Linked DNA regions of Danio rerio. The protein of the gene in region 2 binds, or shares a complex with, the protein of the main gene of each other region. Links are inferred from orthologs where the notes say so. Each region holds a gene or a part of one and is shown on either strand. Other genes may lie near its edges.

Region 1 (3,660 bases), on a different chromosome or scaffold from region 2:
GTTCTGCATGGTCAACGGCACCTGCGGTCGCACCAAAAAGGCAAAGGAAGATGCTAAGCATCGCACAAAAAGTTGAACTTCTGGACATGCTAAAGGAAGGTAGAAGTTACGAGGCTGTAGGGTATCATTACGGAATGGCTTTGATTTTTGGTTTAATTTTTCTAAACTGGACTTTTTTTTTTTTCCCGATGGTTTGAACTTCGAGAGCATTCAAACAAGAGTGAAAAGTTTGAAAATGTTAATGCCTGTCTGAGAAAAGTGCATAAGGTGTTTTACAGCCTTGAAACATCTATAATAATTGAAAAAAAATAATAAAGCTGACTACTTGGCCAATTTTGCCTATTGCAGGCTATTTTTATAATGCAACTCCTGTGAATAACAAGGGACCACTGTATTACATTTGCAGTCATCATGCTTGCGTGCTGATTTGTGCAAATTTCAGAAAGAAAAACTCACTCGGCTGCTTTAGACGGAGCTCCATGGCCAGGTCGTTTGCCTTTTCCCTGCGTCCCTCTCCCATGAGTAGCCGTTCCCGGTTCTGTTCGGCCCGGTGCTCCAGCAACTGTCTCTCGGCCTGCCTGTAAATCTTCAGCAGCCGCGAGCACAGAGTCTGGTGCAGCCGCAGGAAGAAATACCAGTTATTATTGACGAAGAACAAGTTGTAGACCCCATCCATCTCCTTCTGATGCTCAGCCTCTGGGTCCCTCAGATCCACCGCCTCTCCTTCGGGATTAATGCTGTGGGCCACTGTTGACGTGTCCATGCTTTGAGGAGAAGTGCATCGTCGTCTTCTGGACTCGCCGTTCAGCTGTTGTTGTCCTGTGGATGACACTCCACCTCCTGCGGCCGCACCGTCTTCCCCCTCGCCCTCCTCATCCGTGAACTCCTCAGTCTCGCTAAGCTCTCCACGACGGGCGAAGAAGAGGTCTGGGGCGAAGTGCTGGATGATGCGCTTGATGTGGTCCTTGTCGTCCTTGTGGATGGTGGGCTGCCGCTTGACGTGGTAGATGATGAGGGAAGCGGCGTCCTCCAGGATCTGTTTGTCCTCATAGTTAAAGATCATGTGGGGTTCGCTGGTTGACGCTGTGCTCGTGCCGTCACGGCCTTGCTGGCCCACGCTGCCCTCTTCTGTGCTCTGCTCCTGCCGCTGTGCAGAGGGAAAAAGAAAGCGCTAGTAAGCATGACATTAAAGACTTTTGTAACAACAAACGTGAATGGTTTCTCAGTATAGGAAGTCATCATAGTTGGGTGAAGTTAGAGCGCAGTGAAGTGGACAGTACAACAAATACTTTTTTTTTACAAACCTACTTGCTGAAACAATAAGAGAAAAACTTGACGATAGTGTTAAAACTTTCAAAAAAAGGAAACAAACTCAAATTTACTGTTCTGCCCCCATACAAGTTGTATTTCAAATGCCTCACATTAGAGGTAATTTGTTTTTCGTAATTTGATGCAAAGATACAATACATACGTAAATGCACATAAATGTTCATAAGTTTATGTTCTAAATATTAAAAACGTTAATGAATGTAAGGCGCTGATGACCGTTAAATGTCTCATACCAGTGAAAAGGGTCCATAGTAACAATCAGTGTGTGATAGTTACTTTTAAAGTAATATAGTACAACCTTAAGACTATCTTACTCTTAAAAAAATCATTACACATACTTTCACATCACTTCCCTTAAGAAAAAACTGAGTAACACATTTAGTTACTTTTTTTAAAAAGTGACTTAAGATTGTAATAGTTTACTTTAATAAGTCATTCTACCCAACACTGGTAACAATATAGGACAGGTATAATTTAACTTGGCTTTAATTAAGTGTTAATTTGAGCTTTTGTGGCATTTAACACCATCGACACAAGTTTGTTATAAAAGAGGCTTTGACTAGCTGTGAAATTTGGCAAATGGGTAAAATAAGAGTGAAAGTGAAACAAGCAAGCATAAATTAAAAGGATGAATCACCCAAAAATGAACATTTTGTCATTATTTACTCATCCTCCCCATTTTCCAGACCTAATGTCTGTACTTCGTACCTCGCTTAAATGATCTAAGATGATTTGGCAGATCTTGGATCTGTTCATTTTGATAACTGGTCTCTGGCTAATTTGGTTCTTCAAACAAGTTTGTGAATCAGATTAAAATGTCAGGATGAACTGATCTGAGATTGCTGTGTGTGTTGAAGAACAGATCTATCGATCTGCATAATTATGATCAGCAATGCAACGATTGGCTGACGGCACAGCAGCGTAATGACATCATCTGATTAATTTTCAATTGTCCATTTGAGCAATATAACGTAAAATTTGCATATATTTTAATATATATATATATTAAGGGTGGAGCCGAACCCGAATACGGTATTCGGAAAGGCACGAATGGTGTGTTTTTACGAATACTTGATTCGAACAAATACTTGAAAAATTATTTTTATTCGGGAGCAAGAAAAACACTATATCAAAAAGCAGCGTTTCCTCATGAGACCACAGTGCATGCCCGCGTGAGTGAGTGAGAGAGAGAGAGAGAGAGAGAGAGACACGCTCAGTCAGTAGTCGGAGGGCGGGGCGGAGGTGTCTGGCACAAGCTTCTCCACAGCAACAGACAGAAGGCTCGGCTGAGCGAAAAAAATACTTCACTGCATCACTACTTTTGTTAAATAGATTTTTGTACCTTAATTGGGTTCCAAAGGCAGTTTATTTGTAAACTTGTAGCGGAGTTGAAGCGGAGTTTAATCGGGATATTCTATTACGCTGCATTATTGACGTCTGCAACCGGGTGCTCTGTTTACGCAACGTTAGCTCTGTTAGCGCTGTAATTTAGACAATAGACTGTTGACAGAGTAACGTTAACGTTCTTTTATAAAGGTTAAAACGATGCTTTTGCAGTTGTGTCGAATAGTATGCACTTATGGGAGTTATATGGTACGTCTAAATTACTGTCTTTTGCAGACAGCAAGATATATGCTATAGGCTAGTTAACCTTAGCATAGCTTCCCGTCACTTTTTATTAACTTGAAACTCCTCAAATACATTTGGGCACCCGAATAGAAAAAGAGTGAGACTGCTGCTGAGCCATTTCTTGGTCCTCCACCAGTCAAAAGAAAAAAAAAAACTTGTTCTTTGTGGAAGCGTTTTACAGTCAGTGGTGCTGCAGATAAAACAAAGTGATACTGTATAATGTTTACAAAAGTGAAATCAGCAGAGGCAGAGATATTAAACATCTTTCAACATCTTCTATCCATAATCATTCATTCATTTCTTTTCGGCTAAATCCCTTTATCAATCTGGGGTTGCCACAGTGGAATGAACCACCAATTTATCCAGCATATGTTTTACGCAGTGGATGCCCTTCCAGCTGCTACCCAGCACTGGGAAACATCCATACACTCTCTCTCACACACATACAATAGGGACATTTTAGCTTACACAATTCACCTGTATTGCATGTGTTTGGAATGTGGGGGAAACCGGAGCACCCGGAGGAAACCCACGCCAACATGGGGAGAACCCAGTCGGGGCTCGAACCAGCAACCTTCTTGCTGTCAGGCGACAGTGCTACTCACTGTGCCACCGCGCAACCTTCTATGTAATGTATTATATCACATGCACTAAAAGCATCCTCTCCTGATACTGTCTGTGAACCCCCCACAAGCATCAATC
Region 2 (3,660 bases):
AATAAAGAAAAAATAAAAGGGGGTTTAATAATTCTAAATTCAACCGTATAAGGTGTCATTTATAAGTTCTGTGTTAAAGCTTTTAACTCTGCAACACCAATTAAATAATTTCAAACAACAAAATTATAATTCATAAGGAAAGTTCTACATTTTAAATAAAGTTAGATCCACTAATGGATGTTGTTGTCATATCGCAGCATATCATAAAGTACCTCAACTTCTCATTTCCCCAGATCTTTTTTGCAGCACTTCAAGTTAAGCCAATCCAAGAAAAGAAAAACAGTCAAATACTTTTTTTTTTTATAGAGCTATCATGATGCGTGCAGTTGAGGGTTAACTTTGTGTAATTTTAGGTTTTTCCTTTTACTAAATGATTTTTATTTTATTCCTATTTAGATTTTTATTAAAGAGCTATACCTTTGGGCAATATTGCCATCATGATATTTTCTTTTTGTTTGTGAAAGATAGTTTAAATGTTGTTTCTCCAAAGATGTCAGAAAGATGATTCATTAATCATGTATTTTTTTATGTTTTACAGTGTGTAAAAATCAATATCAAGGACAAACAAGTGAAATACTTTATTCATTACAGTGGATGGAATAAGAAGTAAGTCTGTGTATTTAAAATGCTCACTTAATTGCATTGATTTGTTGTTTACTACACAGGTTATAGACCATTTTGAGTGATGTGAACAAAAACAATGGTTCCAACGTATTTCCTGTTTTACATTTTTAATTTCTTTAGCTGCCGAGAATCCAAAAACAACCACATATGATAGCTGTTTTAATATTAAGTTATGATTGAGTTGCCACTTGTTACAGTTAGGAAAAGGTTTGATAAGCAGAAAATGTTCATGGGCCGATTACATGACCACATTGAAATGGTCTATACCAGTTGAAATTGTAAATGTAGTCTACAAGTGACTTATTTTTAATGATTTATTTTAAGAAAGTGTGATCAATGTGTTTCTAGCTGGGACGAATGGGTTCCTGAAAGCCGTGTGCTCAAATATGTGGACAGTAACCTGCAGAAACAGAAAGAGCTTCAGAAGGCAAATCAGTGAGTGAAAGAAGTTTAATTAAATGCCACTGGAAGTGCTTTATGCCTCTCTTTATTATTCTGTTTCATTGCTATTTCAATAGACCGATTTTATACAATCTGTGATGCATGTTTATCTATTTGATGAGAGAAGAATTAATGCAGAACACACTGTTTTTCAGAGACCATTATGTTGAGGGAAGGATGAGGGGTGTCGCACCGAGCAAGAAAATCGCTGCTGTGCAGCAAAAAAATGTAGATGTGTGAGTGTTACTTTGTTTGCTCGTAGGGTTGAATTGCCCTCGACTGCACTCAGCTTCTTGCTTCATCAAGAATTTTTAAAATGAGCTGTCAAAACTGCAAACTCATGTTTACTGGTGCATTTTTAACCAAGGGCTTTCTATTCATTTCACTAGAAAAACAAAGAAGAACAAGCAAAAGAGTAAGTTTCAATTCTCTTTACAAATACTGATGCCTTGCAACCTGTCAGAAATGTTGGATTAATGTTAATTAAATGTCAATAATTTCTCAAATCTGTCAAGATGTAGTGTTTGTTAACAAAGATGTAATCACATTAATACATTTTTCACTGTAGCTTCGTTATTGACTGTTACTGATAAGAATCTGTGTGTTGTTTGCTTCTCAGCGCCAGGGGCTGGAGAGGGCACTAGCACTGGGGACATGCCTCACCCCCCACGCAAGAAGAGGGCACGTGTTGACCCGACTGTGGAGAGCGTATGTCACTTCTAATCTTTAAAAGCCAATGGTCAATATTTAGAGACTTACTCATTTTATTTCCCCCCAGGAAAGCGTTTTTACCCTCTTAAAATGCATGTTGTATAATCAAAAAGACATATTTGCTTTTTTTTTGTTGTATGCGTGTATGAAATATTTTTTCATGCCCTAAAGTGATGCTTCACACAAAAATGTACTCACCCTTGTGTTGTTGTAATGCCAAATACCCTTATGAACCAGCAAAGGAGAGAGAAAAACCCTGCTCTGTCCATTCATATACAGACAGTAGCTATGTTTTTATCTAAAGTCAGGATTTAAATGTACGTGAAAAACTGAAATATCGCATAAAAGATGTACAAATAAAGAAGAATTTTCATTCAATGAGTCAAAGAGAACAAAATTGTCACTTCCTGATTAACTGTTGCCAAATATCAACATTAAAAACGGAATTTGCTGCAGTAGGAAAAGCTGCGTCAATCTTTTCTTTATTTAATCAATTACTTGCGTCTCAGAAGCAAATGCTGACATGCAATGAAGTGTTTAGATAGTAATTTATGTGCAATTTTTCTTATTGAATAAAAAGTTTATCCTACTCCGTTATGTGCATGTTTTTTTTATGCACATTTTCAAATTTGATGCGAATCTTGGCGTTTTCCATCAACCATTTTTTACGTGCGTATCCAAAATACTCATTAAATTGGTGGATGGAAATATAGCTAGTGAATACCGACCAGCATCAAGCATTAAACTAAAGCATAATTATGGCTGGAAAAAGCGTACACATATTTAATAATTGACATGAAATGTGGATTAAAATACAATATATGCCCCTTTCTGAGGTGAATATACCTGTTGTGTTTGTAGCAAATACACATTTTAAAGTATTGCATGAGAAACTAGTGTGGAAATGCCAAATCTCGAATGATATCTCCTTAATTTGTAAAAAAAATAAAATAAATAAATAAATAACTAATATATATATATATATATATATATATATATATATATATATATATATATATATATATATATATATATACATACATACATACATACATACATACATACATACATACACATATATATATATATATATATATATATATATATATATATATATATATATATATATATATATATATATATATATATATATATATATATATATATACACACACACATATATATATATACATATATATACACATCAACTTATTAACTTAAAACGTTTCATGCTTAAGGGATAATAAGAGAATACATGTCAAGATGATGCTTTTTATGTTTTATGAAACGATTTATTAGACCTGTCACTTCACTTGTATGCTTATCTTAGAACATCATGAACTCGCAGTTTCTTTTTTTAATACCCTATTTTTTTTTGTGTTCTGAAAAAGAAAAACAGACATGCTGCATTGCAACAACACCAGGGTGAGCAAATAATGACAATCATACATTTGCAAATCAGCCCCACACAACATATAATAAACCATTAAGAATGTGTTGCTAATTTTACAAAAACCTGTTCGGTTTGCCATAATACACGGATACTGTACCTAGTAACATATTAGATTCTTTGAACAATAAATAAGTGAATATGGCATATGTAAGACTTGTTTTTTTTTTTTTTTTTACATGCTTGTGGTGGTAGGTAAATGGAGAATATACCTAATGCATGGTTTGTCTTTTACACATATTGACAAGATTGACAAGTAAACAATATTAAAAACATGATTTTCTCCAAAGAAGGGTCTTAACAGATGCTAAGAGTGAGGCTGTTTTTGATGGCCTTGCTGGTTTTGTGTGCAGGAGGAGACTTTTATCAACAGAGTAGAAGTAAAAGTAAAAATTCCTGAAGAATTAAAACCATGGCTGGTTGATGACTGGGAC

The links. The genes of interacting proteins can lie anywhere in the genome.
Region 1: the proteins of morf4l1 (region 2) and sin3b are in contact, whole or in part, in a cryo-EM structure (PDB 8BPA), measured with the Homo sapiens proteins. The link is inferred for Danio rerio from reciprocal best matches to the Homo sapiens genes MORF4L1 and SIN3B. Residues at the interface, in NP_996670.1 of Homo sapiens: Gln217, Gln219, Tyr222, Ser348, Tyr350, Glu351, Val352, Ala353, Pro354, Pro355, Tyr357, His358; in NP_056075.1 of Homo sapiens: Cys394, Arg396, Arg402, Ala403, Pro405, Lys406, Thr407, Tyr408, Ser462, Phe463, Pro464.

What each region holds. Positions count from the first base shown.
Region 1 is NC_133183.1:15,981,090-15,984,749, forward strand, and holds part of sin3b (paired amphipathic helix protein Sin3b), read right to left. Parts: intron 1,148-3,660; coding exon 457-1,147; intron 1-456.
Region 2 is NC_133193.1:21,425,073-21,428,732, forward strand, and holds part of morf4l1 (mortality factor 4-like protein 1), read left to right. Parts: intron 1-538; coding exon 539-606; intron 607-972; coding exon 973-1,059; intron 1,060-1,220; coding exon 1,221-1,301; intron 1,302-1,454; coding exon 1,455-1,480; intron 1,481-1,684; coding exon 1,685-1,773; intron 1,774-3,579; coding exon 3,580-3,660. UniProt on the Homo sapiens protein: Component of the NuA4 histone acetyltransferase (HAT) complex which is involved in transcriptional activation of select genes principally by acetylation of nucleosomal histones H4 and H2A.